Daphnia pulex: one gene and its partner. The protein of the gene in region 1 purifies or fractionates together with the protein of each later gene. This does not show direct contact. Links are inferred from orthologs where the notes say so. Each region holds a gene or a part of one and is shown on either strand. Other genes may lie near its edges. The genes, in order: interleukin enhancer-binding factor 2 homolog and regulator of nonsense transcripts 1-like.

What was found.
Region 2: the proteins of interleukin enhancer-binding factor 2 homolog (region 1) and regulator of nonsense transcripts 1-like purify together in Homo sapiens (affinity purification with mass spectrometry; 3 studies listed by BioGRID and IntAct, counting the BioPlex papers as one, with this or other methods). This does not show direct contact. The link is inferred for Daphnia pulex from reciprocal best matches to the Homo sapiens genes ILF2 and UPF1.

Annotation. Positions count from the first base shown.
Region 1 is NC_060024.1:13,503,919-13,514,870, forward strand, and holds interleukin enhancer-binding factor 2 homolog, read right to left. Parts: upstream 3,274-10,952; 5' UTR 3,122-3,273; intron 3,056-3,121; 5' UTR 3,049-3,055; coding exon 2,719-3,048; intron 2,643-2,718; coding exon 2,474-2,642; intron 2,404-2,473; coding exon 2,223-2,403; intron 2,163-2,222; coding exon 2,042-2,162; intron 1,978-2,041; coding exon 1,866-1,977; intron 1,799-1,865; coding exon 1,646-1,798; intron 1,584-1,645; coding exon 1,414-1,583; 3' UTR 1,354-1,413; downstream 1-1,353. Other genes in the region: beta-sarcoglycan-like, read left to right, coding at 88-191, 252-328, 393-471, 531-705, 764-1,312; (Lyso)-N-acylphosphatidylethanolamine lipase-like, read left to right, coding at 3,831-3,901, 3,966-4,048, 4,113-4,322, 4,386-4,512, 4,572-4,780, 4,861-4,978, 5,059-5,083, 5,151-5,312 and 1 more; neprilysin-like, read left to right, coding at 6,392-6,450, 6,520-6,605, 6,668-6,787, 6,849-7,010, 7,076-7,365, 7,434-7,637, 7,692-7,805, 7,883-8,024 and 8 more. UniProt on the Homo sapiens protein: Chromatin-interacting protein that forms a stable heterodimer with interleukin enhancer-binding factor 3/ILF3 and plays a role in several biological processes including transcription, innate immunity or cell growth.
Region 2 is NC_060017.1:7,851,340-7,862,892, forward strand, and holds regulator of nonsense transcripts 1-like, read right to left. Parts: upstream 7,278-11,553; 5' UTR 7,099-7,277; coding exon 6,913-7,098; intron 6,853-6,912; coding exon 6,601-6,852; intron 6,538-6,600; coding exon 6,365-6,537; intron 6,301-6,364; coding exon 5,915-6,300; intron 5,857-5,914; coding exon 5,752-5,856; intron 5,690-5,751; coding exon 5,587-5,689; intron 5,527-5,586; coding exon 5,367-5,526; intron 5,295-5,366; coding exon 5,011-5,294; intron 4,952-5,010; coding exon 4,693-4,951; intron 4,631-4,692; coding exon 4,142-4,630; intron 4,079-4,141; coding exon 3,719-4,078; intron 3,623-3,718; coding exon 3,185-3,622; intron 3,119-3,184; coding exon 2,933-3,118; intron 2,857-2,932; coding exon 2,848-2,856; 3' UTR 2,065-2,847; downstream 1-2,064. Other genes in the region: parafibromin-like, read left to right, coding at 1-42, 105-357, 424-628, 688-934, 1,003-1,101, 1,165-1,295, 1,362-1,503, 1,566-1,602; uncharacterized protein LOC124197441, read right to left, coding at 8,285-8,409, 8,483-8,743, 8,821-8,907, 8,971-9,034; annexin B10-like, read right to left, coding at 9,978-10,040, 10,156-10,337, 10,414-10,593, 10,657-10,744, 10,814-10,857, 10,944-10,979, 11,061-11,265, 11,329-11,446 and 1 more. UniProt on the Homo sapiens protein: RNA-dependent helicase required for nonsense-mediated decay (NMD) of aberrant mRNAs containing premature stop codons and modulates the expression level of normal mRNAs.

The DNA of each region.
Region 1 (10,952 bases):
TGTGATTGTTTTGATTTCTAGACTCTTTGGTTGTGTTCCAAGTCAAAATTTTGGCTAGATTTCTGTATTTGATAACCTATTCAAGCTATGGATTGCAATAATGGAGTGCCCTCACAGGTTTCTACCCTCTCTAGGGCTGAAAAAGCTTTGGTGAAACGGAACGTCAGCCGCCCTTCTTTGGCTAATAACGCGTACTACACTTACGAAAATTAAAAAAAAAATACATTGCAAATAATTTCTTCACCTTTTAGACCAAATCCACAGTTTTGTGAAGATTCTGCTACTGAAGATCATGTAAAAACTAAAAAGGCAAAGAACCAGCCAAGAGGTTGAACTAAATAAAACATTTTTACTTAAAGGATTCACTTTACCTTTAACATCTTTGGACGCAGGATATACTTTTTGGGCGCTGGTGTTTGTTTTGTGTGTTGTTGCATTAGGGAACTTTTTTCTCACCATAACTATTTTCAGGTATAGATTACCATTTAATTTTAAAAATTTCTCCAGTTACTGAAATGTCATTTTTACAGTGTTCTTCATGTTACAAAATCAATGGAGAACATTGAAGTTGTCCCCACTGCAAATCTCATCAAGTTTTTTGGTGATCTGGAGATGAACAAACTCATGAAAGCTGATGGAATGTTTACTGGCTTTAAAGAGAGCCCAGTAACAATTACCAGTGATGGAGATGATCTAAACTTCAAGGTAATGAAATTTAAACAAACATGGAATAAGAAAACAACTATTAAATATACCCATGTAGGTTATGAGTGATGAAGAACCAGAGATCATCATCAGTCAAGATAAAGTCGAGTTTCGGAAAGTCGAGGGTTTCGAGATGTTCGAACCGCGCACAACCCCAAAGACTAGCGCATTTTCTACAACTTTTCCTAATTTCGGTTTGCCTAAAGGTGTTTTGAACTTACACATCAAGAAAGCCACGGCCAACAGGATTACTAGCAAGTTGGAAGGCTCCTTACTTATCAGATCAGAGAAAGCCATTCGCGTGAAAGGCAAAGAGGGAATGAGGATCCGGGGCAAAGAAGTTGTAATGAGAGCCGACCAGGATCTTCTGTTGCGCAGTATCAATGGAAGCATTATTTTAGACGGATCTGATGGCGTAATAATGGATGTAGACGCCATGGCCGTGACTGGGAGACTCGAAGATCACAACGCAACAAAAGTGGCTGAATACAAGTTGTGCATCTGCATGCCAGCCGGGCAGCTTTTCCGAATCCCTGTTCTTGAAAGCACTGATACAATCAATTGCGATTCCGTTGATCTCACGGGCGATGATAATCCCTGCATTTAACTCTCAATACTCATAACAAATCTGTTTTTTCTAGTCATTAATTGAACCGAACTAGTCATTGTTGTTCACACCGAAAGTCAATACACGGAAACATCAAATCTTTAGATGGCAGAATCGGCTTCTTTCTCTGTTGTAGGGGCTTCAACTTCTTCAACTTCCTCATCTTCGGGTTCCTCGCCGGTTTTCCTATCGTATAGTGTTGAATCGTAGACACTGTCCTGAGGAGTGACGACGATGCCGTTCCATACAGACAATTCAGCAGTAGGGTCCACTAAAGGAAAATTTGGAAAATAAGATTGACGCGTCAATGAATATAATTAAAAGTTGAAATACCATTTTTCTGATCAAGACAGAGAATGGCGTTGTAGCCTCCATGAGAAAGGATCCGTAGGAGATTCTGGGCGGTACGACAAAGTAAGTCTTCCTGTTCCATCGTCATTACCATGTGAACGCGAATGGCTCCCACCTCACAAGGATCAAGTATTCCTAAAGACAAATTGAAATAAGAAATCTCGCATTGGAAAAATGCAAACTATTATCCTTGTCTACTTACCACAAGAGCCCGGGAGAAAGAATCCAGCTGACAAAAGTTGAATGACACGACGGAACGCTAGATTGACGGACAATGCTTGTCGATTAGGGGTGTTGAGTACGCTAAAATGAGCCTGTGATTACAAAAATATCAAGTTAGTAAACTCTGAAAACCAATAAATAGAAACTGAAAGTTACCAGAAGATCGATCATCCATGGGCTCAATGGTTCAAGTCCTTTTATGCGTGTCCTCATATCACGTAATAAGCGAATCAGGACTTTAACTGATGTGTGGTTAACATTTTCTTCGAACCATCGGCTGAATATTAATAAATGTTTAGCGAAACAACCACAGAAGAATTTGAAAGAAAAATGTTACCTGTGTCGGACGGCAGCTAAGTGTGACTGGAGATATTTCATGTCTAGATGCATTGATGAGCTGATGAGCCTAAAGTTGCGGCCGATAGTTGTAATTAAAACTCGAACGACCGCTTTTGTATTTTCAGGCGGAGTCACGCTGAGAATGTTAAAACCTCGGTCAGTTATCTCAAGTTCATGATCTGAAACCAAGTAAACATAATTATTTAGAAGGAATACACTGAATACACTAGTACACCAATAACAACATACTTATTTGTGCTTGTTGCTTCTGCACCTCCTCCAAGATTTTGGCCCCAAGGGAACGAATAGCTTCATGTGTTGGAAGAGTTTTCAAAATGACGACAAGATCAGCCACATTGTGACCGCAGACCATTGTTCCCTTTTTAAAGGATCCAACAATCCTCACTTCTTCCAATTGCTGAAATTAAATTCAAAATCACAATAAGTGGTGGTTACTTGTCAGGCACAAAAAGTCATAAAAAATATGCACTTACGCAAGCTTCAAAGGATCCTGGGGCCACAGTAAGTCCTTCAAGAATCCCCTGTACTTTGAGAAGAAGACACTGAATGGAAGTCTGCTCGTTGGCAGGAGGGACAAGCTCAGCATGCCGTTTCAACAAAGCTTGAGTGAGATCTTTATCATCAGGTTGGGGTTTGAGTCGTGGGTAAAATGATTCAGAAACAAACATATCAAACGGCATTCGAAGGATATGAGGACGAGGTTTAAAGCCGGACATATGATGCATTGGTCTTCCTCCCATCAATATCGGACCGGCCCCACCGCGCCGTAACATACGAGAATTTCGACGAAAATTTCCACGCATGATGATTCTACAAATCAGAGATGTTTGATGGAGACACAAACAACACTAGAGCTCAAATAAAAATACTATCAACCTCGTTTAATAACTTTTGCAAAAGCTACAATAAGACGACCAAATTCAAAGCAGAATCGACCTAGCAGACAACAACATCTACGAAATGTCGAAATGCCACGAAACTCAGCCGGCCGCAGGATGCAGTGGTCATGTGCAGAGCAAACGTAGCCTAGCCGCTGGCAAATAAAAAAAGTGAATAATGTACATATAAAATGTAACCACAAAAAAAATAATTTTAAAATTAATTAAATTTAAATCTCGATGCAATAAATCCAGTATACTGGAGAACTATTTATTGCAAACATTTGCTACTACAGCCATCTATCCACAGCAATAGCCACTTCCATTCAAAATTGGTTTGTTTACAATTTTCAAGTCAGCATTACGTAGCAATCCAATCATCAATAAAGTTGAAGCAGACGAACTCAAGGTGCTGCAGATTTATAAAAGAGAAAGAAAACTGTACGTCCGAAGTTCGTCGAGAGATAACATATTTACAGCACAACGAGCAGATTGTAATACGCTTAAATAGTGTTCGTTCCTTAAAATCTCGTGATTTTTCAACTTTTAAAGGTTTTGTCTAAGCTCGTCAGACAGTCCTTGATTCATTTGCATAAATAGTAGCCACATTCGTTTGGCGGTCTCTACATAGGCCTAGAGTAGGAATAAGCTGTGTCATCCTATTACATAACTATAGTTTTTCTGCTGGGAATACTACAGAGATTGTGATGGAAATAGATCAACAGACTGTTATTGAACAGGTTACTCCTGGAACTGTAGCTGAAGTGGATAATAAGTGGTATGTAAGATACGAAATAAATCATAATTTTAATCTTTAGCCCATTTCATATACTTTTTGATAGTTGGTGGAGTGTAAGCAATTACATCCAGTGGTGTCCAACATCAATGTATCACCTTAAGCGAGCAGAGAGCAGAATTCTGAAAGGTAAAGTTGGCACTTTGCAGTTAGTCACCATATTCACTATTAAATTAACTGTATGATTGTTTAGTTATCAAGACTGCATACGAGGCAAAGTATGTCAATATTGGGAAGTGTGTAGGAGGCACTGAGAACAAAATATGGACCTTGATGCTCAACAAGGATGCAGAAAAAACACCATTGGTAATGCTTCACGGATTTGCTTCGGGTGTTGCATTGTGGTGCCTTAACCTTGATACCCTTGCAAGAGAGAGGCCTGTTTATGCAATAGATCTTTTAGGTAGACATTTTTACATTTTTGTTTAAGATTACAATCGTTTCATATGATGCAATATTATTCCAGGTTTTGGTTCCAGCAGCAGACCACACTTTAGCAGTAATGCCTTAGAAGCTGAGTCTGAAATGGTGAAATCCATTGAAGAGTGGAGAAAGCAAATAGGATTGGAAAAATTTGTGCTGCTTGGTCATAGGTATAAAGCAATACTGATGCAATTATCAAATAGTACTCTGTAATTGTATTTCACTATAGTATGGGAGGGTTTCTCGCTTCGGCTTATGCTCTACAACATCCCGACCGTGTTTCGCACGTTGTGCTGGCAGACCCTTGGGGGTTTCCTGATCGTCCGTCCGGGAACGATTCGAACAACCGTATCCGAATTCCTCCCTGGGTGAAGGGAATCGCCTATCTCCTTCAACCTTTTAACCCGCTGTGGCTTATCCGAGTGTCTGGACGTCTAGGTTTGTTCAATAGACAGCAGTTGTGTGTTATCCAGCTTATGCTTATCTTCCTTGTAATCAATTTTGAATCTACTGAACAGGGCCTCATATAGTGCGAAAAGCTCGTCCCGACATTTTTCAAAAGTATGCCGGGACAGTAGAAGATGCAGATGAAGCCATTTCCCAGTACGTTTACCATTGCAACGCCCAAAGTCCAACGTAAGAACGGATCAAATAATGATAATTTGATTAAACAATCGACTAAAAGTTTTTTCTGTCTTAAATATTTTCAATTTCAGAGGGGAATCCTGCTTTCATGCTATGGTAAGCAGTTTTGAAAGGATTTATTTTCCAAATCAACACTTTTAAGTATTTATTGTTCGACGCATAGATGGCTAGTTTTGGATGGGCAAAATACCCAATGCTTCACCGGATCCCCGCACTAAGATCAGACATTCCTCTAACGTTCATCTATGGAGCGAGATCGTGGGTTGACAGGCATCCGGGACAGATAATTAAAGATAGCAGAAAGGAATCCACTGTTGAACTCCACGTAAGCGACTGGTTTTCAGTGTTCAGTTGAATGTTTAAAACAAGAGCGTCTTCATTCAGGTTATTGGCGGTGCCGGTCACCATGTTTACGCTGATAAAACGGAAGAGTTCCATCATCTTGTGTTGACAGCATGTAAGACAACTGACAATTCGAAGGAAGTTATCGAGTTGACGGTAGACGAGAAACCGACCGCTGAAGAAGAACGGGTGCACGAATTACAGACGGAAATCAGCCAATCGGTATTGGGAGCTTTACAGGCGACCGAAACACTAGAAAATCCTTAAATCTGTGGATCACGATTAGGATGTCAATACTATTATATCGCATTGTCTGTTCTTCTGTTAGAAAATTATGTACACTAAATTCTTGAATATTCTATTCATGCCCAACACGATTTAGTATAATTTCAAATTTTTTTTATGTGAAAAAGTTCAAAGAAAAATACAGAGTTTCATTAATGCACTCTAATTACTGTCAGATCATTAATGCATCCTACACACTCAGCTCCGGTCGTGCTCACTCACGAACGAAGCGTTCCTTCGTTATGTAATTTTCTTTGTTGTAGAATTGAACAAACAAACTCTGGGGCGACATTCTGAAAGAATTGTGTAGGAAAAGCGACATAATGTTGATCTGTTGATAAACTGGGTACATCAATATTTCATTGAAAATGAGGATATTCATTCTACTACCATTGTTTTCGATTGCCACACAAAGATGAACTTTCCAATCTGATGCGGTCGCCAAGAACATATTGTTCGACCCTAGAACAAAAGAAATATAATCCACGGAAGATAGTTTAGACTGCTGGTGATTGTCATTCGAGACGTTAAGTGTGCTTCATTTTGTGTAGCCGTCGATATAACTAGGGGAGAGTATTTCAGGTCACGTTCCTTTATATAAACACATATCTTGCTCCACTGACACCTTTGTACATCATGTACAGTATTCCCTGTATTTAACAATCAGTAACTGGCAAGAAAATTGTCATTCTTCAAGGAAGAAAAAGCGGAGACGAGCTACCCAAAATTCGCTAAAAATACAACAACTTTTGATATTCACTTCTGTAAGATTGAACAATGGCGGATTCATTCGTCGTCACATCGACAGAGACTCTAGCCCCAGCAAATATTAAAACGTACGTATCTTTACATGTTTGACAGTTGGATTGAAAAAGTTCACTTTTCGATTTTTGGACGGCACATAGCCCGAAAAAGTCTCGCTGGATCGTGCGGGTAGCTGTCGTTGTTGCCGGAGTTTTTATGGTGGCCACTGGACTTTTAGGCTATCAAGGTTCACTGACTCAATCAAGTTAGAATTTCTTGTTTGATCTCAGTCAAAATTCTTAAAAACAGTTAGCCAATCCATCAAACAATTGGACGCTGTGATCAAAGAGCTGGGAAGTGCTCAACTTACGATCGATGGCTTTAAACTGAAAGATCCCGTTTGCAACACCAAGGAATGCGTCGTCTCAGGTAAATCTATTCAACCTATGAAATTTTTTATTATAATGAAAGGAATATGATTGGGGTTCAGCCGCTGCTTTGATGGAAGCCATGGATCCATCCGTCGATCCTTGTCAGGATTTTTACCAGTTCACCTGCGGAGGTTGGCTTCGTAAGAACAGCATTCCAGAAACAAGTTCCCGCTGGGGCCATTTCAATATTTTAAGGGAACAAGTCACTCACTTACTTAAAGGTATTTAAGAAAACTGATCTCCTCGTCTTATCGCTTAATTTTTAAAATGCCGGAACACTAAACAGAAGTTTTAACCGAGCCGAATGCGATGCGGGATTCGAAACCGGTGAATAATTCTCGAGATATGTACAAGGCTTGCATGGACACGGATGCGATTGAAATTTTGGGATTGACACCGTTGACTGAAATTCTGGATTCGTACGGTCGGTGGCCGATGACCGTGTCAAACTGGACGGCCGACCAGTTCGATTGGAGATCAGTAAGCTCATCCATCCGGAAGAACTTTGGAGAAAGTTTTCTCTTTGAAGTGTACAATTATCTTGACTGGAAGGACACTAATAGAAGCTCCATTTACGTACGTTGTTGGATCAATAAATGAATAATGATATTTTTAACTTAATGCTATCTTACTTAATTTATTAGGTGGATCAATCCGGACTGGGACTTCCGTACTCGACACTGATCAACGCCAAGTCAAACTCAACAGCTGCCGTGATGAAAGCGTATGCCAATTACGCTTTCGAAACAGCCAAGGCGGTACGGGACACGATTCAAGGAGGATCTAATGATTCCGACATAACCCGTCAAGTGGAACAGATGATTGATTTCCAAATAGAACTCGCCAAAGTATAATCAACGTTGTAATGATAAGTCAAAATATTCACCAAAATTGTTTCGCAGATTCAAACCAAGCCGGAAATGAGGAGGAACAGGACGCGGATGTACAATCCCATGAGATTAGACGCTCTGCAGCGGTGGACAAATGTTGTCCATTTAACTCGTTCAACCAACTACGTAAAAGTTAAAATTATTCAAAAATCTTCTAATATAATTTAGCTTTGGTTTGAAAAAAAAAAACAAAAAAAAAACAGATTAAATGGGCTGATTATATCAGCGACATTTACTCCGTCGTCAACATTTCTGTGACTGAGAACGAGCAAGTTGTCGTCACCGAGCCGGAATTCCTCCGCAAACTCGTCCGTCTTTTGGACCAAACTTCCCCGAGAGTTATTGGTATGTCATCAACTTGGAAAAATAAACAATCGACTAACATTTTAAATTGAATGAAGCAAATTACATCCACTGGCGTTTGGTGATGAAGGCGGGAGATAATACGAATCAGCTGATGAACTCGATCGCATTCAAATTCTGGAAAGTCTTTTACGGGGCTTCAGAACCGCAACCAAGGTGGCGGTTCTGCGTCAACAAAGTAGCCAACACGTTGGGATTCGCCGTTGGGGCTCTGTACGTCGAGAGGGCATTCGACGAACACGCCAAAAAAGATGTACGCTTTGGATTTATTACGGGAAAATTATTACAATTAAAAAAAAAATTATTTCTTCAAAGGCGATTGAAATGATTGGACATTTGAAAGAAGCGTTCAATTCCTTGGTGGAAAAATCGCAATGGATGGACCCGGAAACTAAAATTCGAGCGCTGGAAAAGGCGGCCGCCATGAAAGAATTTGTGGCTTATCCGGACTGGATACTCAATAAAACTCAACTGACACTTGCTTACGAAGGGGTGTGTCTTTACTTTCATTTACTTTTCAAATCGAATCACAGTACATGACCGCCTATTTCAATTTTCAGGTGGAGATAAACAGCAATAGTCACTTTGAAAATTATCTCAACGTCACTCGGTTTTTAGAGTACGGAGAGATGAAAGGACTTCGGTTGCCAACAGATCGTACGACGTAATTTGGCCATTTATATAACTTGTTACATAATCTCTTGCATAATCTGTTATTGTTATTTGAAAGGTGGGTCACTTTTCCGTCGGTTGTCAACGCTTTTTATTACTTTTTCTACAATTCCATCAGTAAGTTGAACCCAATTTTACCTTTAATTAATAAAAAAAAACCTTTCGAATGATTTGACAGCTTTCCCTGCTGGGATCTTACAGCCACCCTTTTTTGGAAAGGGTCGCTTGGCGTAAGTAACTCTATTCTTTTGAATTTCAAAAGGGCTTGTATAATTGAATTTGTTCTCCCGTAGTGCTCTCAACTACGGCGGAATAGGAGCTGTAATTGGGCACGAAATAACCCACGGCTTTGACGATCACGGTTGGTAAATTAAAATGACTAAAAATATTTGAATGCGCGTGACTCAATTCGGCTTCTTATAAATGACAGGGCGGCAGACAGATAAAGACGGTCGAGTCAACTTGTGGTGGACTAATCAAACGCTGACTAAATATCTCCAAGGAGCGCAGTGCTTTGTCGAGCAATACGGAAACTATACTTTCCCGGAATTCGCTGGAACTGAAGCTTTTCATGTGAGCATTATAAATTCAATTAACCAGGAGTATTATTAACACGCGGGAATTTTTAGATCAATGGAATCATCTCACAAGGGGAAAACATTGCGGATAACAGCGGCGTTAGGGAGGCCTTTTTAGCCTATCAGAATTACGTAGCCCTGAACGGGCGAGAAGCCCGTCTGCCCGGCTTGGAGCAGTACACACCGGAGCAGCTCTTCTTCATTTCCTATGGCAACATTTGGTGTGGCAAACAAACAACGCAGAGTCTCAAACAGCAAATCTTGAACGGTCCGCACAGTCCCGAACGCTATCGAGTACTAGGCACCCTGTCCAATTCGGTCGATTTCTCCCGTCACTTCAAATGCTCGAAAGATAGTGCCATGAACCGCCCTAATAAATGCATTCTCTGGTAACATAGTTATTAAAATGATGTATCTGTAATAATACAGCTCGGTTTCATTTTAAATATTCCTGAGGTGCCGGCAGGTCCCTCTTTGTCGTTAAAATTTTCTAGTTGCACTTTGCTTCAAGTGTTTAAAGTTAAAATATTTTTGTTTACCCACAGACAAAGTTGTGGGTTGACAAAGATTTATTCAATGAACCCTGACTGAGTAAACAAAAACGACAAGAGAAAAAAGTTCCACTCAACCGCCTAGCTCAGGAATAATCGTATTCCGTACTATGTAACGACTTATAATTAACGCCCCCAAATAGTCAAAAATGAAGAATAGAGATACATGTTTCCTACCTTTAAGTCTGGGAAATACGGCCAGGCATCCATCCAGAAGTGCTTCATCCATCCGCTGAAAAGTTGAATCCACCAGGCGGGATAGGAAAAAGGGCCTCAGACTCGTGAATACACCCACACTCACATGGGTGTACACGAGGACAGAGGAATTTACATAAAAGGGAATAAGAGATCACGTAACTCGGGATCCAACATCGGTAATCTTCAATCAAACGGGATACTGTTTATCTAATAAAAAAATAAAAAATTGGTTACGAAAAATATTTGCAGAATCAAAGAGTAGGAAAAAAGTTGAAAATGAGAAAGTGGGTAAACCCTAATTTTTAATAAATGGGAGAATTGAAAGTTCCCATGTTACAACATGCATGCAAGTCATGTGCATCATTAAAATTACCTAGCAGGTCACAGGGATAAAAGTAACACACATAATTACCCAAGCGATGATAGTGAGATTGTTGCTGATGACAGGTCAATACCAGTAAAAGCAAAACTGGCATATATCATGTTGTTATGATGGCTGGCTCTGGCCTGAAATCTGCACAAATAAAGAAAAGGTTACATAGTGCAAATAACAAACTACCATAGCTATATTGACAGGGGGCTTACATGATGCTAGTCAGAAACATTTCACAAATTTGAAACCGGTTTGACTCTTCTATTTAAGCTCCCACATATAATCATTAGATTTGAATTACCTGCTAGAAACAGCATGGAGTGTGTATTCAGTGATTCTCTATCAAGAACACGACCAGAGATGACACGATGACCACACCTATCTATATTTGCTGTTCTATTTTTCTCGCAGCCACGTTTTCGTACCTATACGTTTGAAAACAATAAGTGATCATCTTTTCGTTTTCTTTGTTAATTTATTTAATTAAACGTCGCCTCTTTTTCGAAACGTGCAAACAAAATCAAGCAGACGACACTAA
Region 2 (11,553 bases), on another chromosome or scaffold:
AGCTCCCCGCCAAGACAGTCTGATCAATGTGAACAAAATCCAGTAAGAACAAAAAAAGATTTTTTAATGTTGAGACCATATTCTTATTGTACACCCCTTTTCAGGTCTTTATCAGAGGCCATGTCAATTGAAACAATTGCCTCACTCAAAGCCAAACGTATTGCCAACAAACGAAAAACTATCAAGGGTGACACAGAAGATATGGGCCTAGGGCTTGGAACTTCTCTCGGTTTGGCAGGAAGTTCCTCGTCTGAACTGAGAGGGATGCTAGATTACGATTTTGATGTCACGAAGGATATCTTAAACCGCGAGAGGCAATGGAGAAATCGGACTTCAGTCCTTCAAAGCTCTGGAAAGGTATGCGGCATTCAATTAGATTCGTTTTGGTAAAGTACATTCATTTTACCTTTAAATGTGTCCTAGGTGTTTTCGAAAAATATCTTTGCTATCCTGCAAGGTCTTAAAGCTCGAGAGGATGGTAAGCTAAGAGGTCACAGCTCAATTCCACCAGGAGCTGGACGAGCAGTCGTTCCACCAGGCGGTGCCCCTCCTGGAATGGGACCTCCTGTTCAACAGCAAGGCCCAGTTTACAGTCGTTACGACCAAGAAAGATTCAGAGGGAAAGAAGGTAAATAGACGAACGCAATTAATTGAACAATAAAATAAAATTTTTCTTGCTATTATTAGAAACGGAGGGTTTCAAAATTGATACCACTGGTACGTATCACGGCATGACGCTAAAGTCGGTGACAGAAGGTACTCAACCTCGCAAGGCTGCGGCACCGACTGCTGTTGCCCCTACAGCTGTTGCTCAACCACGTCCCTCAACCGGTCCGACCAAGCGAGTATCTCGAACGCCAATCATTATTATTCCATCCGCCAACTCCTCTCTAATCACCATGTTCAACGCAAAGGACGTGTTGCAAGATCTTAAGTAAGGCTAAAATTAGTTCAAAGGTTTGACTTTCTGGTCGATTTAAAAATGAATTTTCTCTTGAAAAGGTTTCTTAGCACAGAAGAAAAAAGGCAGCAGGGTTGTCGAAGAGACAACGAGATCCTTTTACAAAGACGCAAAGAAGGAAATCTAACGGTGCCCTATCGGTGTGCTCTCTATTAACTAAAAGTCTCAATGTGTTGATTAAATATGGAACTATTTTCTTGTAGAGTGATAGACAGTCCCCAGAAGCTAGCCCCCGCGGATTGGGATCGAGTCGTAGCCGTCTTTGTTATGGGCCCTGCTTGGCAATTTAAAGGTTGGCCATGGACTGGAAACCCTGTAGAAATCTTCGTTCAAGGTTTGTTGTGCTAAAATACGCCATGATTTCAATTCGAGATTTAAACTCTTTTCGTTGAAACAACAGTCTCCGCCTTTCATATTAAATGGGACGACATACCTTTGGATCAGAATGTAGCAAAATGGGCTGTAAATGTGATTTCTTTGTCCCGAACTAAACGACATCTTGATCGCGCTGCCCTAATGACGTTCTGGGAGAAACTCGACAGGTAAGCATTCCATGTTCTTAGTCTTTTATTCTCCTTGCATAAATATTTTCTATTTTATCCAGGCACATGTTAAAAAACAAACAACATCTTCGATTTTGAGCATCACTTTCAACGAGTTATGGGGTATCAAAATCTTTCTTACTAATACGCGTTATCTTTCGAAAATTTGTTGGCACCTTCTGTAATGTCTTTAATTTTGATTTTGTGATACACGGACCTGTTCACATCCAATCAAAATACTAATCCAATTTTAAGGCTCTTTCTTATCCAATTGGTGTTAAAATTTTTTAAGGATTGTTGTTTTTGGTGATAGGCTGGAACTAAATGGCAGACGCCGAGGACACTTTTAAAGAATATATTCCTAGTGGTAAAGTGGATCTCACCAGCCTTCAGCTGAGTTGGAAATTGCTTACAGGATCATCAGAATTTCATTGGCAACACTGAGAAGACGAAGACAATGTTTCATAACTATGTAGTTGATTGCCAAACAAAAATATCAGTCATTTTTTTATGCACAACAGAGTTAGCTTGAATATTTAAAAGAAAGAACGCACTCGATGATTTCCCGTGAAACAAAGTGTATTCTGATCTTCTTTCCATCTGATTTTCTCCGTCAAGATGGAAAGAAAACGCACGATGTGAAATTGCTTCCTACAAAAGAGCGCTATTAAAGGGCTCGGCAACAGCAAAGTGAGAACATCCAGTAACCCAACACTAATCCTCGCGAAATGAATGGACAACTAAACTTGCATGTAAAAGCATAAGGTGAAGAAAGCTGAAGAGCGTGAAAGGAAACAGAGAAAGCATTGGTCGACTGGAGAGAAAACAAGTCAAGAGAAATAAACAATTCAAAAAAATCAGTTCACTAAGCTTCGAACGCGTTATCAACTGAGGGGCCTACAAAAGAAGCATTCTAATTTTGGGTGACGTTCTATCGAAAAAAAAACGTCGTTTGTCGAAGGGATTTTGTGTTGGCTTCCAACCCACTAGAAACAGACTTAGGTAGGGTCCACTATGTTGGATGGTATGGGTATAGCAGTTGTTTCCCGTATTTTTCGACATTAATTTGTTGAAGCCCATCAGCTCCGTTATCGGCTCGTTCGTCTGGACACCGCTCTCTTGCTTCAACGGCAGATTGCTAGTGCTGCTTATGGTGTGCGACGTTGAAGGCCATTTGATAGATGGGCATAGGTCTTTCGAGCTGTCAGTTGATGAACGTTGGATTTCCCCTTTTCTCTTTTATCTTTAACTGCAAGATGAATTCAAATACGGTCGGCTGCCGCCAGGCGTCGTCATCGTCAATTTTCTTAGGGTCTTTTTTATTACTGCAACGCCTTACAGTTTTCAGTATGGCTAAGAAAAGGTCGGCATTAGATTGAAAACAACAGGCTCAATCAAAGAGTAAGACAAATTCGCTTCATCAACCTACCTGCGTGAATTGAGAGCCATGGCGGAAGAAGGCTGAACGGCCCCCTTGATACGTCGAGTCTTGAGAGAGCAGTCCATCCATTTGCGACTGATAATCTGATGACATATAGGCGTCTTGTGACGGATCTAACTGGGATAGACCCGATTGCGATAGTGCTCCGAAGCCCGAGACCGTCTGCGACATCCCCTACAAGAACATTTAAAATGGATAAGCATACCTTCGCGACCCTTTCAACTTGGCATTATTTAGTACCTGTGACATTCCTTGGGTGAGAGCCATGCCACCCTGGCTGAAAGGCTGCGTTGATACATCCTGTGTATTCTGCGAAAGTGACTGTGTAAACAGCGAAGAACTTCCCTTGCTTGCGGCTTTGCCAGCGCGAGGCCCACTTCCTCGGGCATTGTCTTTTGGCCTCTGATTGGATTTGGATGAACCATGCATCCCTTGTTGCTGCTGGCCGTGGAATCTAGGCGGGACGTGCGTCATGTTCATAAAGACACCCAAGGGAACGGGCATAGCAGAAAGAGCGGCCTGTGCCCTCTCTGGAGCAATGTAACCGATTGGATCGTGCAAACGGCTGTACGGATCTCCAACATTGGCCGTGGCTCGAGGTATGTAAGTATTCATACCATTGTTGTTTGGTGGTTGACCCCCACCCGAACGATCATAGACGGAACCAGGAACCATGGCCTTTAAATGATAAGATTATTTTAAAATAGAATACAAGATCCTTGACAGACAAGCACTACATAATTTGAAATAATTCTTTTGTGAATACGAACATACCTGGCGTGCGTCGTAGACGGCTGTGGACATGAAATGCTGACCAGGATTAAAACTATTAATTGGTTTCTTTGGCTTGGGAAACTGCATCATGGATTCTTTGAGGTTGTTGAGAGCTCCCTCAGTTAGAACATGATTTTCTTTGTAAAAGTGAAGCAGGTGATTCCATACAGGCTGCTTGGCCAACACTTTAGGATTGCCTACAATAATGATTCCGTAACGGGCGCGAGTCATAGCAACGTTCAAACGACGGGGATCGTTGAGAAAACCGATTCCTTGGTTCTCGTTTGAGCGAACACACGACATGATGATGAGGTCTTTCTCGCGACCCTGGAAAGCATCTACACTAGCTATTTCGATATCCTTCAAAAACAAAATACAAATTTAAAGATTTCGTAAAAGGTTTTGAAATATGAATTCCCTTACTTGGTATAATTTAGCATGTAGTGATCCTTGATGTTGCATGTACTGTACAAGATAAGCTCTTTGTCCTTCGTACGGTGTGATGATGCCAATTTGTTCTGGTTTGACTCCGGATCGAAGAAAACGTGTAGCAATCTTTTCCACATTTGACGCTTCCGTTCTGTTCAAATAGGACGTACCCGATCCAGCAATTTCCTCCTGACCCAATGTAACGTAGAAGAACATGGGCCTATCTGGCATTGGCCAAGGGAAATCTACCCCGCGAAGGATTCGGTCTTCCGCGCAAACACCATTCTGTAGTGATCCCTCGTAAAAGAAGTTGGAAGGAAACTCGGACAACCTTGGGTGCATACGGTACTGTACTTCCAAACGGAAGGGCCGGATGCCAAGTACTACCAGTCTTTCAAACAGTGATTGCGAGAGACCAGCTTTGGCAGCTGGTTTACACATCACCACTGGGCCCAACTGACAATGATCTCCAACCAGAATGAGCTAAACACCCAAAACATTGAATTAATAAAAATCTAAAACACATAATACCAAGGGATTCTTACCTGTCTTGCTCCTAGGACGACAGGGACCATGCATTCAGGTTCAGTAGCTTGCATTGATTCATCGATCAAGATAGATGCAAACTTAATGCGAGCCAAGCGAACATCACCAGCACCAACACAAGTGCACGCTAATACATCTGCTGCTTCGAGTAGCTCTCGTTCTGCTTGTCGCTTTAACATGCGGTATCGCTTTTCATCTCCCTGTGAAAGCTCACCGACTTCCTCCTTAAGCTGGACCAGCTTTCGCAACTCTGAAGCTCTATAATAGAAGTTAACTTTAGCCCCACGATGACACATTTTCGCAAAGTAAATTCTTACCCTTCAAGACATCGAACTTGATTATGCAAGGCCAAGAACGAGACGGGTGAATCAATGGCCTCTCTGGATTTCGCGCACAAACGGACCACTTTCAGACCAGTTCGATGAATCTTTTCAGTCAATTGGTCAACAGCAATGTTGGACGGAGCGCAAACTAATACTGGCCCTGATCCTAGTTTAGCCAAATGGTACACGATGGTGGCCGATGTAACCGTTTTCCCGGTACCAGGAGGTCCTTGAATTAATGTCAATGGACGTTGAACTGCTTGTTTTACAGCAAAAACCTGTAAAGCGTAACATTATGAGATAAGCAATGAATGTTCTATGTTCTATCAAGTAACAACTAAATTTTATACCTGAGATCGATTCAGCTCAGGCAAGTCAGGAGCAGAGAAATGTTTAGGGAGATGTAGGCGGAATACGACATCTTCAACCTCGTGACCGAGCAAACGATGATAAATGTAAGCTGAAACGCTACTTTCGTCAACTGCAAATTTCCGCAGGGCCGATTGCATCCTGAAAGACATGTTTCTTAGTCACTAGATCTCTTTGAAATACGAGCTCATCGGATGTTACCTATCAAAAGACGTTGATTTCCAGACAAAATCCACGACGAAATTTGTGGAACATTCTGTAGGAGCTCCGTTTGAATTCTTTAATTCAATTCCGACTTCTTCGCCTAAAATATAGTTATTTATATATTATATTATCATTATTATTACTATTATATATTAGACTGACTGTAGTTGTCTGGAAGTTTAATCACGTGCCCCAAACCAGTCCACGGTTTGTGTAGTTCCCCAAGGTAACGCAATCTTAATTCGTCACCATGCATCAGTTTCATATCTGAATTAACGAAAAATATGAGAAGGGACACTAGTGAACTATAAATATTAGGCATTACCGCTATCTGTCTTTTGAAGACTAAAGTAAGCGACAGTCTTTTTATTAAGACCGACATCCCAGCGAACGTGAACGTTGTCTTGAGTTTGGGCTTCTTTAACTCGTCGGTCGTAGTCTGCTTCAAGTTTCACTAGCGGACCAAAAATATTCTGATATTGATAGCCATCCTCATATCGCAGCAATACGTGCTGAGGTTCTTCGTCAACGCCAGGACGTTCCAGGTCTTCAAAACTAGCCTCAGGTTTCTCTTTCCACATCTCTTCCAAACGGTTCAATTGCTGGGCCGTCAATTGACGAGCTCTCATCTGTTCGGCCTCTGAAGGGCTTCGAACAAGCCAACTGAGGAAACAACGATCAGCTATAAGTGGTTTCCATTGTTCAATGTCCCTATTAGCAAGAAGAAGTTAGTAGAAAACCACACATGACAAACAGCACAGTAAATTTAACTAACCAGTTCATGTCTTTCAATGATGACTGAGCTGCACAAGGTTGGCGACACAGCAGCACAACAACTGAATCTGCTTTAGCAGGAATGAACCCCAAAACAAAAACATTTCTGACTCCACAAGAATAGCACTCCAAAACTGTTTCACCCAACGGTCCATCACGATGCAATGTAACCTCCTGAAAAATTAAGAGTTTGATTATAAACAAGGATTAAGATTTATATTTTTAAAATATTTTTACCTTGTGTTTGGCTCGTACAAGATGATTAACAATGTGAGAGCCAGAAGTATTACCTTTGCCATTGCAAAACCATTTCTTGCAAATATTACACATTACAACACAACCAGGATCATGGATGCCGCAATACTTGCATGCATGTGGTGGCAAATCTTTGCTGTAATAGCCCTCTTCATCTTCTTCCTCAAACTGGAGATCGTTCAAATTTTTCATTGCAGTAGCAAGTTGAGAATCAATCGTGTCCAGCCCATTCGCCTGAAAATGACCACAAATTACAGAAATGTTTTCAAAGTTTCACCAGGCAGGATTTCTTACCTGATGTTTTCCCATTGATTTGTGAAGGCTGGCATGATCAATTTGTGAAGCCTGGGTTTGACTCGGCAAAGTAAAATCGCGAAAATCGAAATCAGTTCCCTGAGTGTCTGCCCCAAGTAAATCATTTTCCTCGGTGTCGAGAAACGTGAGCGTTTGCGAATTGGGCCCAAAAGTGTCCACACTCATTTTGCCAAATGGTATAGCAATTAATGACGTCAATTACAATCTCTTACGGAACGAAACTCGCATGTGTGTTTTCACGGCTGTGCGAGTTTTCCCTTTTCCTTTAGTGCGATCGAAGCGCCATCTCTCGGCTTGATGGTTGATGCAACCGCCCTCTTGCGCAATCTTTTGAAAAATGTAATGAAATACCAGTTGTGTTGCACATTAGATAGGCACAGTGGCACACAAACAAACACACTTAGATCTAAGCTAAATAACAACGCTTTATAGATAAAGATTTTCGGGATCGCCAGATTATGTGCTCCTATGGTACTTTTTGTGCCCAGTCACAAATTATTATTGTTCACATTCGTGATTTAAATATTGCTTGCAGGTTATAGTTACATTGTTATACAGAAAAGAATTAATGAAGTAGAAACAGGTCTTAAACCACGATTCAGATAATAATTGAGTCACAGAATTAGGAAGCCAGTGGTTTCAGAGAAAAAGACATTTCATTTCTCGTAGACATATAGGGCTGTTCGACATCTTTTTTAACATTTGTTGCCATCGTGGCAACGCAGCAACTCATGTATTTTTGTCTGCTACGAGTGACTTGTGTTTGTTCTGCGAAATATGAATTTTTTTGAAAAATAGTGATAGAAAAGGGGGTTGTTTTGAAGTTGTGATGTGTTTTATTTATATATTAGTTCGTTATAGTGTTAGTGTTTAACTATGTCACTGTCTAATTATGCCAGTGGACTTAGTATTGAGGCCAAAACACGTTATTTGGGAAAGTTATTTGTGCAGACAACAATTTCAAGAGAAAAACATTCCACGAATCGTGCATCAAGTCGCAAACTAATCCCCCAAAAAGAATAACAAAGCTTTGGAAGTATGACACTTGCAAGAAAGCTGCTCGTGCCGTAGCAGCCGCAGCGGCAAAAGCAAAGAAAAATAACTTACCGGTCGTTCCTAGTAACAGTCAAGTTCAGAGAACAGCACTTTCCAATATAACCTCAATCAGTAGGCCCTAGTGAGCGAAAAGATACAATTTGTGTACCTTCCTTTGTAAAAAAGAAAATCTCCATTTGTGAAAATGTTGTGTTTGATTAAATTATTACGAAGAAAATGGTAATATGTTTGTGCCCCTGTTAACCAAGGTTAATACATCAAGTATTTATTGAAAATTTTTGGTTTATTATGACAATTATTCACCTAAACACACTACAGTAAGGGTACAACAGATGAACACGAAAACTGAAGTTGTTAGTGATGAATCACCGGAAGTAAATTCGACGTCCCTGATGGATTGACTTGAATTATTTAATGCAGCTGAAAATTATAAGTAATGAACCAAAATATTACTTTCATTAATTACAAAATTACATTTTAAAACATTACTTACGCAATGCATCAAAGGTGGTTTCAACCGTTATGATAGTTTCATCATCGGCAGTTGAAGTCATGTCAAAAGTTTCCGTACTTGTTGTTACATCGTTCAAGGATGGGATTGGATGAGAATCACTTATTAGAAGTGTATCTTCAATTAATGCAACATCTTCATCGAAACTGTTTGAGGTATCTTCAGTTGCAGTTTCAACATCTATCAATGGAGGTGTATCAGCCTTGTCAAAAGCAACATTGTTACGTACTTGATGATCACCATCTGTAATGACAAAATAGTTCATTCATTAAAACAACATATAGGAATGTTTTTTACACATGAAATGAATAATGCAATACCTAGAAATTGTTTCGTCTTATTTGATCCCACATTTATAGAGGGTGCCCAATCAACATGTTTTTTGTGGAATTCTCCACTCGGCTTTCCTGTAAGCATTTCACAAATTGTAAGATAATAGTCAATAATTGTTAGTATTAACCTATAAATACCTGTAACAAAGTGATCCGAACACACATAGATATTTTTCAAGTTGGTGTGGATGATGTAATTCATTCTCTCCAACCACAAGTCTCGCCTTACACCCTCCTTTGGTAAACTATACAGTTTTACACTTGCACTTTTCAGGTTACGGCAATTTCACACTTTGCACCATCTACTCACAGAACCTTTTTTAGTATTCATTATGCAGAATACCTATCAATTAGATAATTTAAAATTTTGTGATTGTTTTAATCTGAATACAAACTTTCAAATTTCACAGAATAAACAAGTCACTCGTAGCAGACAAAAATACATGAGTTGCTGCGTTGCCACGATGGCAACAAATGTTAAAAAAGATGTCGAACAGCCCTATAAATGTAGGGAAGAAAAACATGTAACCCTAGCAGTACACAGACAGCGACTTCATACAAACACGGCATCTCTAGATCATCGGCATATTTTATTACTTCCCAACGCAGTATCAAATGCTCTCTACATAGGCCGGATCACGACATGTTACATGATACTATGTATGTTAGATAATATTCTATCTCGGACTAAGAAATGTTTTCTATTACCAACTGAAAGAAATTTTATATAAACATTAAATAAAAAGAAAAAAAAAATTTAGACTCAATTAGTTGGGTAATTTCTTGGTATTTCGTAAATCTTATATCGTTATTTTTATTATTTCTATCAATGGCAGTTTTTGAAGGTCGGGTCAAAATAGATACCTTAACGAAGACGTAACCCGAAAAATAGGAACTATTGCGATAATTGATGTACACACTTTGCATAATAAATACAACTACAGACGTTAGAGGTAATAGTTGGCTATATGTCTGTATATTTCACCCAATTACATTGAGATATTGAAAAAATTAAAATTCCAGAAGTGTTGCCTCCGCATTTGCAGCAGCAATCAGGAATATGGCCAAAACGACGGACACAAGATCGATCACAATAAATTTGGTACATCAAAACAAAATATACTTGGAAAAAGTAAACAGTGAAATCAATCATCGGCAGTTTTGATGAGACAAATAAGAGCGCGACGATAATCACCGGAAGTTTCGCTCTATAAAATGCCGATGTTGTAGATCGCAAAGGTTGCATATTGAGATTTTTAAAAAGTCAGTCAGTCAGAAAGATTGTGCATGTAAAGTACAGAAATAGTTTAGAGATTCATTTACCTGGACTGAGCTAAGAAGTGTTTTGCAATAGATGCGCTCATATTCCGATTTGATGTTGACCAAATCAATTTCGGAACGATCGACGATGATGCGGATCAGAGCACTGTCATTTGTCCCCAATCCTTTCATGGCTAGCTCCAGACGGTGGGCAAAAAAAGCTGGTCGGTTGTGAACAATTTCCACTGAAACGTTCAAAGTGTTAAATTTAAAGTTGATTTTGACTACGGGATCGCAAATAATCAATGACCGGAGGCATACCAATGTCCTTAAGACCATGCAAGAGATCTCCAGACATTTCGGATTTGAGAGCCTGTTCAATTGTTTTTCCGGAAATCTTCTTGTACATTTTAAACATCTCGGAAGTCTGACGACGACATTGGGCGGCAAAGCCAAAGACGTCTACGAAGACGTTTTCGTCTGTCCCGATTTTTCCTTCTCCTACAATAGTTAATTTGAAACTTGTAATAAATAATGATAAACCCCCATATGAGTTATATTTACCAGCGGTGTAAAGATTTCGTGCGTCTTCTTGGGCTTTAACTGGATCATAAGCAAAATCTCCATGGCCACTTGTTTGATCACTCTTTCTCTATAAATGTTTATACATCCCCATAAATATCACAAATTGGACGTTTAATTAAAATGGAAACGACCGAACCTGTAGAGCGTTGAGAAGCAATTGTTGAAATGGCCCCGAAGTATCTTTAATTCAGAATAAGTTATTAAAAGGATAGGCTACTATTACATTACGGAATAGGGTTGGACACGTTTGAAAAATATGTGATTACCTTCTCGGACATCCTTTTCCAAGGGAGTATTGTACACTGATTGAAATCGATAGAAAAATTTAATATTATTATCGATTATTATTTTGCTAATCTATGTGTTGAATCTAAATATATTACAACACTCGTAGGCCAAAGCAATCCTTGTTATCTCATCGTAGGGGCGGGAGAAGAGGACTTCCACCAAAACGTCCTCATTAGTGCCAACTCCCTTCATTGCTTTGTTTAGAAGCTTGGCGCAGTGTACTTCCGGTGGCATCATCATGCTCAAAATGAGCTTCTTGAAATTGCCACTCAGTTCACTCTTGAAATCAGCAATGATATCCTGTTAATCAAACGCATTTCAATCAACAATGAAATCTCATTTTATAAGAAAATTAAAGGTTACTCGATTGAATTGGAGTTTGAATGCTTTCGAAATACTCTGGCGCTGGGCGTTGGATCGATAGCAAAGAATGTCGATGATGGCTTCTTCATTCGTACCAAATCCCTTCATGGCAGCCCGCCTGAATAATTTGAAATGCCAGATAATTTAATTCCCATCCAAAATAAAAACCTGATTTTCTAAAGATTAAAATGGGAAATATTTACAATTTTTGGGCGTCGGTCATTG